Linked DNA regions of Drosophila melanogaster. The gene in region 1 interacts genetically with each later gene. Each region holds a gene or a part of one and is shown in the gene's direction. Other genes may lie near its edges.

Evidence for each region. A genetic interaction does not mean that the proteins touch.
Region 2: of Klp61F (region 1) and tau, changing one enhances a phenotype caused by changing the other (phenotypic enhancement), as found in Drosophila melanogaster (one study listed by BioGRID).

The regions. Positions count from the first base shown.
Region 1 is NT_037436.4:1,241,061-1,247,909, reverse strand, and holds Klp61F (Kinesin-like protein at 61F), read left to right. Parts: upstream 1-1,999; 5' UTR 2,000-2,269; coding exon 2,270-2,349; intron 2,350-2,415; coding exon 2,416-2,716; intron 2,717-2,909; coding exon 2,910-4,242; intron 4,243-4,307; coding exon 4,308-5,518; intron 5,519-5,582; coding exon 5,583-5,834; intron 5,835-5,884; exon of another isoform or gene 5,885-5,918; coding exon 5,919-5,942; 3' UTR 5,943-6,342; downstream 6,343-6,849. Other genes in the region: Psf1 (partner of Sld five 1), read left to right, coding at 236-844; CG32318 (uncharacterized protein), read left to right, coding at 1,277-1,356, 1,423-1,837; galene, read right to left, coding at 6,428-6,633, 6,689-6,849. UniProt on the Drosophila melanogaster protein: Important role in mitotic dividing cells. Microtubule motor required for spindle body separation.
Region 2 is NT_033777.3:27,647,718-27,652,303, reverse strand, and holds the start of tau (tau), read left to right. Parts: upstream 1-1,549; 5' UTR 1,550-1,611; intron 1,612-2,401; 5' UTR 2,402-2,501; intron 2,502-2,596; 5' UTR 2,597-3,242; coding exon 3,243-4,554; intron 4,555-4,586.

The DNA.
Region 1 (6,849 bases):
AACCAGGATGGCATTTCCTCTTAGGACGGCATAATTTGGGCCTCGTAAGCTAAATTTTGATAAATCACCGTTTCAAATCTATTTTAAAGGAACATGGCTACTGAGGATGAAATTTTTGTTATTTTTTGAAATATACCAAAAGAAATACCAAGTATCGATACCACAAGTCGACGAACATTTTGGCGCGAATCCATCACTAGATCCCCAAACCAAAGAAAAACAGAGAGGATCAACAATGAGCCGACAAACAAAAATGTTCGGCGAGAAAGCCTTCGACCTGCTAAAAGAACTGGAGAGATCGTCGCAGACAATTCCCGCCTTCGACGACGATGGGGTGCGCCAGGTGCTGGAGGAGATCAAGGCGATATTCGAGGAGAACGTGGCCCAGGCCTCCAGCTACAATGCTTCCGGGGATCGCAGTCTGTGGCCCCTGCTCAACTTCAGGCACGCAGCTCTCCAGAGGAACAAGAGGTGCCTGCTGGCCTACCTATACGAGCGGTGCAGGAGGATCAAGGCCCTCAGGTGGGAGTTTGGACCCATTATCCCCGGGGACATCAAGCAGGCACTCTGCGAACCGGAGGTCACCTTCTTCAACAACTACTCCAAGTCCCTGGCTGCCTACATGTGCAGTGCGGGCTACAACCAGGGCTTGCCCATTGATCTAACCAACAATCTGCGTCCGCCCAAGTCACTTTACATCGAGGTGCGCTGCATGGAGGACTATGGGAAGTTCGAGCTGGACGACGGCGAGGTGATCCACCTGAAGAAGAACAGCCAGCACTATCTGCCCCGAGCTCAGGTGGAGTCTCTCGTGAGGCAGGGCATTCTTCACCACATAGCCTAGTCGGGATTATTTGATAATAAGAGTTTACTATACATATTTAATGGTTTAATGTAGAACAAATAAAAGATAAAAAATTATTTAATTCAAATAATTTGAACATTCTGTAGTTTTCCAATACTTGTATTTTTCGATGTTGGTATTTTCAGGGTGCCGTGTTGCGGTCACACTATTTGCGCATTATTTTAAAATTGAACGGACAACTGAAGACGCTGCTTCTCTCTGTTCTCATTGGAAATAGTGCGAAAATTGGTTTTCCACGCCAGCCTTCTGTAAATAGTAGTTACAGTTATCAGCATTCGGCTCGGTGGAAGGTGAAGCACAAGGATTTCCAGGAATCAAACACACACACACACGCATACCGATACACGCGACAGGCGTCATTTTTTGGACTGTACGCGCTAAAACCACAATTAATTGTTTCAATTGATCAATATGGACATATCTGGTGGGAATACGTCGCGCCAGCCCCAAAAGAAGTCCAACCAAAACATCCAGGTGTATGTGCGCGTCAGGTGAGTTTGTATATGTAACCAAAACCCCTTAAAAAGATCTACATATATCTTCTATATCTTTTGTAGACCCCTTAATTCTCGGGAACGTTGCATCCGCTCGGCCGAAGTCGTGGATGTGGTCGGACCACGGGAAGTGGTCACCCGCCACACGCTGGACTCCAAGCTCACCAAGAAGTTCACCTTTGACCGCAGTTTTGGCCCCGAGTCCAAGCAGTGCGATGTCTACTCCGTCGTGGTGTCTCCGCTGATCGAGGAGGTCCTCAATGGCTATAACTGCACGGTGTTTGCTTATGGCCAGACGGGCAACAATCTGCGTCCGCCCAAGTCACTTTACATCGAGGTGCGCTGCATGGAGGACTATGGGAAGTTCGAGCTGGACGACGGCGAGGTGATCCACCTGAAGAAGAACAGCCAGCACTATCTGCCCCGAGCTCAGGTGGAGTCTCTCGTGAGGCAGGGCATTCTTCACCACATAGCCTAGTCGGGATTATTTGATAATAAGAGTTTACTATACATATTTAATGGTTTAATGTAGAACAAATAAAAGATAAAAAATTATTTAATTCAAATAATTTGAACATTCTGTAGTTTTCCAATACTTGTATTTTTCGATGTTGGTATTTTCAGGGTGCCGTGTTGCGGTCACACTATTTGCGCATTATTTTAAAATTGAACGGACAACTGAAGACGCTGCTTCTCTCTGTTCTCATTGGAAATAGTGCGAAAATTGGTTTTCCACGCCAGCCTTCTGTAAATAGTAGTTACAGTTATCAGCATTCGGCTCGGTGGAAGGTGAAGCACAAGGATTTCCAGGAATCAAACACACACACACACGCATACCGATACACGCGACAGGCGTCATTTTTTGGACTGTACGCGCTAAAACCACAATTAATTGTTTCAATTGATCAATATGGACATATCTGGTGGGAATACGTCGCGCCAGCCCCAAAAGAAGTCCAACCAAAACATCCAGGTGTATGTGCGCGTCAGGTGAGTTTGTATATGTAACCAAAACCCCTTAAAAAGATCTACATATATCTTCTATATCTTTTGTAGACCCCTTAATTCTCGGGAACGTTGCATCCGCTCGGCCGAAGTCGTGGATGTGGTCGGACCACGGGAAGTGGTCACCCGCCACACGCTGGACTCCAAGCTCACCAAGAAGTTCACCTTTGACCGCAGTTTTGGCCCCGAGTCCAAGCAGTGCGATGTCTACTCCGTCGTGGTGTCTCCGCTGATCGAGGAGGTCCTCAATGGCTATAACTGCACGGTGTTTGCTTATGGCCAGACGGGCACAGGGAAGACCCACACCATGGTGGGCAACGAGACTGCCGAACTGAAATCCTCCTGGGAAGATGTGAGTGAACAAAAATTCAAATCAAAACCATATCAACCATATCAGCGTAGGGCCCTACATTCTCACTTTCGCAGTTTAACCAAACAAAAAAGGTCTTTGCCATTCTTAGCCATCTGGCTCAAGGCCATCGAAACCAGTTTTTCTTTTCTAAGAATCGCTAATCTAACCTTTTCCAATTTGTCTTCCCGCTTAGGACTCTGACATTGGCATCATACCGCGCGCTCTGAGTCACCTTTTCGATGAGCTGCGCATGATGGAGGTGGAGTACACTATGCGCATTTCCTACTTGGAACTGTACAATGAGGAGCTGTGCGATCTACTGTCCACCGATGACACCACCAAGATACGCATTTTCGATGACAGCACCAAGAAGGGATCGGTGATTATCCAGGGCCTGGAGGAGATACCAGTGCACAGCAAGGATGATGTGTACAAGCTGCTGGAGAAGGGAAAGGAGCGTCGCAAAACAGCCACTACGCTGATGAATGCACAGTCCTCACGCTCCCACACTGTATTTTCTATAGTTGTGCACATCAGGGAGAATGGCATCGAAGGAGAGGACATGCTGAAAATCGGTAAACTGAATCTGGTGGATCTGGCGGGCAGTGAAAATGTTTCCAAGGCTGGGAATGAAAAGGGAATACGTGTGCGGGAAACAGTAAACATCAATCAGAGCCTCTTGACTCTCGGTAGAGTAATTACCGCTTTGGTCGATCGCGCTCCTCACGTTCCATATCGTGAATCAAAGCTGACTAGACTGCTGCAAGAATCTCTGGGTGGCAGGACCAAGACCTCCATCATAGCCACCATATCGCCGGGCCACAAGGACATCGAGGAGACCCTGAGCACTTTAGAGTACGCTCATCGCGCCAAGAACATTCAAAACAAGCCCGAAGTCAATCAGAAGCTGACCAAAAAGACTGTGCTCAAGGAATACACCGAAGAAATCGACAAGCTTAAAAGAGATCTTATGGCGGCCAGGGACAAGAATGGCATCTATTTGGCCGAGGAAACCTACGGGGAGATAACTTTGAAGTTAGAATCCCAGAACCGCGAGCTTAACGAGAAAATGCTGCTGCTCAAGGCTTTGAAGGACGAACTCCAGAACAAGGAGAAGATCTTCAGTGAGGTGAGCATGAGTCTTGTGGAGAAAACGCAGGAGCTGAAAAAGACCGAGGAGAACCTACTGAACACGAAGGGTACTTTGCTCCTGACCAAGAAAGTGCTGACCAAGACCAAGCGACGATACAAGGAAAAAAAGGAGTTGGTGGCCTCGCATATGAAAACGGAGCAGGTTTTGACCACACAGGCTCAGGAGATCCTAGCCGCTGCTGATCTGGCCACTGATGATACTCATCAGCTGCACGGAACCATCGAAAGAAGGCGTGAGTTGGATGAGAAGATTCGCCGATCTTGCGATCAGTTCAAAGATCGTATGCAGGATAATTTGGAAATGATCGGTGGCAGCCTGAACTTGTATCAGGATCAGCAGGCAGCCCTCAAGGAGCAGCTAAGCCAGGAAATGGGTAAGCTATCTACAGAAATCAATTTGTATATTATTGTACATAAGTAAAATTTTATAAATCTCCAGTAAACTCGAGCTATGTGAGCCAACGCCTTGCACTAAATTCCAGCAAAAGCATCGAAATGCTTAAGGAGATGTGTGCCCAATCGCTACAGGATCAGACCAACCTCCATAATAAGTTAATAGGAGAAGTCATGAAGATCAGCGATCAGCACTCTCAGGCATTTGTCGCCAAGCTGATGGAGCAGATGCAGCAGCAACAGCTTTTGATGAGCAAAGAAATTCAGACTAACCTGCAGGTGATCGAGGAAAACAACCAGCGGCACAAAGCCATGCTGGACTCTATGCAGGAAAAGTTCGCCACCATAATTGACAGCAGCTTACAGTCTGTGGAAGAACATGCGAAGCAAATGCACAAGAAGTTGGAGCAGCTCGGGGCAATGAGTTTGCCAGATGCGGAGGAACTGCAGAATCTTCAAGAGGAGTTGGCGAATGAACGAGCTCTGGCGCAGCAGGAGGATGCTCTCCTTGAGTCCATGATGATGCAGATGGAACAGATCAAGAACTTGCGGTCCAAAAATAGCATCAGCATGTCCGTACATCTTAATAAGATGGAGGAGAGTCGACTGACGAGAAATCATCGCATCGATGATATTAAGTCTGGTATCCAAGACTACCAAAAGTTGGGCATAGAAGCTTCCCAATCCGCACAAGCGGAGCTCACCAGCCAAATGGAGGCGGGAATGCTTTGTCTGGACCAAGGCGTTGCCAACTGTTCGATGCTTCAGGTGCACATGAAGAATCTCAACCAGAAATACGAAAAGGAAACAAATGAGAATGTTGGTTCCGTTCGAGTGCACCACAATCAGGTGGAAATTATTTGCCAAGAGAGCAAGCAGCAGCTTGAGGCGGTGCAGGAGAAAACCGAAGTTAACTTGGAACAGATGGTGGATGCAAGGCAGCAGCTTATCACCGAGGACAGACAGCGATTCATAGGCCATGCCACTGTAGCCACTGATCTTGTCCAAGAGTCGAACCGGCAGTTCTCGGAGCATGCTGAACACCAACGGCAGCAGCTGCAAATTTGCGAGCAAGAGCTTGTACGCTTCCAACAGTCGGAGTTGAAAACGTACGCCCCAACTGGGACCACGCCCTCCAAAAGGGATTTCGTTTATCCGCGCACCCTCGTGGCCACGTCGCCACATCAGGAAATTGTGAGGCGCTATCGCCAAGAGCTGGACTGGTCAGATCTGGACACCACGGCCACTATAGATGAGGTAACCTAAAATCCTTCAACCTTGTATGTTGAAAAGCACCAACTTTTATGTTTCCAATCCGTAGTGCAGCGAGGGTGAGCATGACGTCTCCATGCATTCCGTCCAGGAGCTGTCCGAAACTGAAACCATAATGAACTCCACGCCCATTGAGCCCGTGGATGGTGTCACCGTGAAGCGTGGGTGCGGCACCACCCGCAATTCCAATTCGAACGCCCTAAAGCCACCCGTAGCTACTGGTGGAAAACGCAGCAGCTCGTTGTCACGTTCCCTGACACCCAGTAAAACGTCACCTCGAGGTTCTCCCGCCTTCGTCAGGGTAAGTCAAGTGCAAGTCCGCTAATGACTTAACAAATAAAGGGTGGGGATATATTATCATTGCTTTTATTTTCAATATTTTTAGCACAACAAAGAAAACGTAGCCTGATTGCATTCGATGACAGTAGTAGTCTCCCCTTCCCAGTAACCCGTTTATGTTAGTGGATTTCGGATCGCTGTGTTTGTTTGGCTCTTCTGGATATTCATTTTATCTGTATATCAATCTTTGGAATTTCGTACATTTATTATTTAAATAAACTCAGTATGCTATGTAAAGTTAAGGAAATCTTTAGTTCAAGTGCAGGTTTAAGATATATCAGAAGGTATTCTTAAACTTCGATACTATTTTTTAGGGAAGAAGTGAATTTGGTTTTTTAATGATGTCATGCCTTCCAAGGAAGCGCTTTATAATTAATATAATCTTAACTATTTTACTTATCATATTCTCGTTTGTGAATTTAAATTTGTTGAAGTTTTTTTTCATAAAACATTTAAACATATTAAATATCCATCTTTCAAAGTGTGTTCCTTATAATTAGAGCATCCAACATATTTAGGAAAAAACAGATGTCATAACTATCTATCTATCTATTACTAATCCTCATCCTGCTCGTCGTCATCATCCTTAAGAATGCCCAGACGGCGGGCTACCTCCTTCACATTGGCAATGAACTCCTCCTGGACCAGGTTAAAACTCATGGCCAACAAGGCAATGCCGAAAAGAAGGTACAGCGAGCAATAGGCGATGGACTGCTCCGACTCGTCCTTGACTCCTTTCGCGGGGACAAAGTCACCAAATCCTGTAATGCAAAAGCAGATGAAAAGAGTGCGCAAGGAATTGGGATAAACACAAACCGATTGTTGTCAGTGTAATGAAGCAAAAGTAGGCGGAATCCAAGAAGGACCAGTTCTCCCAGTACGCAAAAAGAACAGCTCCGCCAAGGATGTAGCTCACTACCAGAAAGACGCATAACCAAATGGGGACAGGTCGATCCTTGGGCAGCAGATCTCCATAG
Region 2 (4,586 bases), on another chromosome or scaffold:
CCGATAGATACAACGTAAACCCACCACCCACCGACCGGCTGCATCCCCCCAAAAAAAAAGCTAAACAAATGCCGGAAGGAAAGGAAAACGAAAGCGATTAGGGGGTGGCAAAACCACCCCCCTTGGAAAAGTGTCAACAAAAAGCAGTCGACCTTGCTTAGCGTGCGCTTCCGATTAAATGCACTTGATTTACATAACATTTGAGTAATTTTCTACTAATTAAAATGGTTACCAAATCGATTATTCCATTTTAGTAAGTTCAAATAAAGTGGTAAACTCTAATGCATAAGCTGTGTTGGGAGAGTATAAAATCTGCCCTTAGCCTTGCATACTTATTGTTAATATTTATATTAGTTAATTTCGAATTCACATGGCTGTTACGTGCAAGCAGTGCTGGTTTGGATATTAGCTCTTCGCTGGGTTGTTGCATTAGATTAGCTTGGACGGCAACCTAACGGCAAATTGGATATAATATCAGGCGAATTCGTTTGTTTTAGTAGAAAAATATAAAACCCGCTAAAATAAATATATATAATAAAAAGTAAAATTTTAATAGAATTTTAAAAATAGATAAATTAAAAAATAAACGCTTTATATTAAACAAAATTTTCTCTTTTACTTCCAGGTTTGTATTCAGATTTATGGAACTTAATGAGAACTTAAAATGGCTTCAATTATGGTTATGTTAAATACAAAGAATCGTCAGGAAATCAAACTAATTCAGTCCTAGAGTAAGAACCATAACCTTGGCAATCGAAATTAGGCTACAGAACTATGCAGACATTAGCCCAGGACTACGCTCCTTCCACGTCTGAGTCTGAATCCTTGGCTAACCTCACGTCAGTTTGGATCTCCCCAGGTTTACTTTTATGTCTACGCATTAGAGCGCCGGAGTTTTGCGTGCTGCCTGCTTGTAAATAAATAGACAACAATTAGGGGAACCTATGACAACAACACCTGGATAATGGAAAGGTGCGTGGCAAGCGGTGCAAGTTGGCTCTATGTGGATACAAAAATATATATGCCACCCTCCCGATTGTCGAGGGCAAAGGATTGGGTCTGGGAATGGGAATGCACAAATGCGCGTCGAAATGCCTCCCCCGGTGGCCATTAAATTAATCAAGTCAAATGAAATCTGCATATAAAATCAGCGTTATAGGCTCCCCATTCGCTCATTGTTGGCGTGTTGAATTTGCATTTTTCCCCGGCGCCCCACTAATAAATTTGTATGTCAATAGAATATAGCCAGAATACAAGGGGCTGCTCCACCAAAAATATATCCTGGCAGCGCTTTGAACTGCGCAAGGACACATTCTGTTTATGCGCCCCGAGAAGTTTACGAGCGACCACGCTCCGCCAGACCAAGTTGGCGTATCAAAACAAATTCTAAGTATTGTAATTCGAAATTTTTCAAAGCAAATAAAAGCAGTCGAGTTTTAACACTCGCGCCAAACACAACGCAGTGCAGGGAGCTGGCGTCGTAGCTCCACCAGAATATTTCAATTAAATAGAAAACAAAAATATATAAAAAAAAAATATAAGAAAATATAAAACATATTATATTATTACGCGATTTTGTCACAGTAGAAGTGTGTGGTTACTTACGCCTAGGTAAATTGCACCTTCATTCCCGTGTTCAAGCCAAAGTGCAAAGTGCATTAGCCTTCTCAGGCTGTACGTGGCCAAGTTATTGCCCCCTGGCCAGGAAAATCGATACAATTGCATTGCATGGCGCTTGTTTTGTTTTATGGCCAACTGCAACTGCAACTACAATTGATAGTCTTTGGACTGTGTGATAAAAATCGCTACTGCAGTGGCGCCAGAATTCAATTGCCAAAGGACCAAGTTTTGTTAACCATATTTCACCGAGGGTGAATCTAATTGAAATGCAAGCCACGGGCTTAGGAAACTTTTGTGCTTGCACCTGTGCAACTGTTGACTTACCAACCCCATTCCACTTGGCTGATAATCAATTTGGCCAAGACCATTTGGCCACAAATGACAGTTGAGTTGAACGTTGTTGTGCGGTTGACATGAACATTGTGTGGAATTTCGGTTTATGTCAGCCGCGAATAAATCACAAATCATTGTAGCCCTAATTTGCAGTTGCTGTTTCTGCCAGGCCTTCTTTATTTTGTACTATTATATATATATATATTTTTTTTTTTGCTACTGCCAGGAAGTTGGCGATTCCGACTCTGAGTCGGCACAAGTTGCAGTTGCCTCTTTAGTTGGCAGTCGGATGTGGCACGTGCTGAGGTCATAGCTCCTCCAGTTTAAAGAATCCCTCGTCGTCCTGTGCAATTTTATCGATTCGCCCGTCAAATGTAACACACACCAAAAAAAAAAAAAAAGCACTGGAACTTAATGCAAAAGTTTTCGGTTTTTTCTCCGCATTAAGTTAATTGCCAGGCAGTGCCGAGAACCAGTCTATATAGACATAGTCCCCGATCCGAATTCGAACAGTAGTAACCCACTCAGATATGAGTGATACCGATGCGGTGAGTTTTGCTTGAATTCATATATATTTTGGAGCTGCACTTAGCGCACACCGATTCGCCCATGCACAAATGATTTACGAGCATAATTTGCATAGGGAATGATCCAGGTTAATGGATGTATTATTCCGCCGACCTTGCACATACATCATTGTCAGTGGAAGGAACCCTTTTGCGAAACAAATCAAACAGCGATTTCTTGTGGCCCGTCGATTTGGGCCTTAGAACTGCCAAAACTTTTGTTGAATCAATAAGCCACAAAAACAATTTGGGTCACGTTACAGCTGGCAACCGGATTTCATGACAAAATTCCCTAATGGTAACCAAAGACCGAACGCCCGAACGCCAAATACCCAAATATCCTTATAGCCATATAGCCAAGTAGCCAAGTAGTGAATACCAAAACAATAAAATGTAAACAAATGCAGAAAGAGCCATCAAATTTGAAAGCACCCACTCAATGTGAACTATATTGATACGTACGTCTGTTCCGATACACGAGCTTTAGCTCCACCATTGGCACTTTGGCAACCCCACAGTTGGCAGAAGTAAAAGTAAGCCCACAACGATATATGGCCATACATATGCAAATGATATGGGCCAGTTTGCCGGGGCAGCGGAGCATGTGGGTGTATATCGATGGCATTGGCCACCAAAAAGTGGCTCCGCCACATATTGGGTTACCAGACACTTGCACATTTCTGCACCGACACCGCAGGCGAGAAGTTCTAGTCCTTCGCTAGGATGTACGGCACGGGAAAGGATCGCTCCGGCCAGGAGATTATTTCTCCACAGGATTACCCAGTGCAGCAGCAGCGCGCTCAGTCCAAGTCAGAGTATGTCATGAATTCCGCATCTGTAGATCGTCCTCAGCAGCAGTCGAGACCACAACCCACGCAGGATTATGTGCCTTTTGAGTCCTCCGATTCATCTGTGGAACGAAAGAAAGAACAGCCAAGTGCTCAGTTAAGCACAGATTATACCAATAGCAACACCACTTCGGATAGTGCCTCCTACGGCTCAGATTCAGTTTCCAAACAGCAGATACGATCTCAGCAGAATCCAGAGTATCAGAACAATGCCTATGAGGCACCTAGAGATGACCGCAGTCAACTGCAGCCACAGAGATCCCAGCCAGCTACCGATTACTCTGCATATGAACGTCAGCAACGTCCGCCACCAACCACACTAGACTACACCACCGGCTATAATGCACCACCTAAAGATCGCACCACCCTGTCACGCACCAACTCGCGGCCCACCCTCTCCTCACCCAATCCCAAGCTCCAAAGTATACCCAATACCGAGTATGTGCGACCACCACAGAACTTTGTCTTGCCACCGCAGATGCGTCCCGCCGTGGGGCCACCACAGCCGCGTCCTCCGTTCGCCGGAGCCCGACCTATGGTCGGAATGGGACCACGACCACCCATGCCGCCGAACATGGCGGCCAGGCCACCACCGCTGCGCAGCACAGACAGCAAGAGCAACCTGCTAATGGGTCCACCGATGCGACCGGGCATGCCACCGCAACTCAATATGCAGCAGGCTCGTCTGCCCAATGCCGGCGGACAGCTTAGCCCGCCGGGCCAGGGACCACCAAGGCCACCAGGCGGATTTCCTTGGAATCCAGCCGGGGCACCGGGAATGCCACCCGGAGCACGTCCGCCCCAGAATATGACGCGACCGCCGCCACCTACTTTTGCACGCCCGCCGCCGGGACAGCCGCTGCAGGCACCCTTCAATCGACCGCCTTTCAACCAGCCGCCCATGCAACCGCAACAGCAACAACCACCACAACAGCTGCAGCAGCAGCAGCAGCAGCAACAGCAGCAGCAACACATGCAACAGCAGCAGCAACTACGCCCACTTTCGGCAGCCAGTGCACACAACAACAACGATGACGACGACGACGTGGTCATGGGTCCCGCGGTGACCCCGCTCAAGACCTTCAATTCGAGGCCCGATCCAATGGGCGAGCCCCTACTGGAGGACATCGAGCCGCCCTTCCAGACGAGCCCCCCAGCCGGAGAATCCAAAAAGGGGCCCGGCTTCAGTAAGACTCAGATCGATAAGCGATAAACCAAA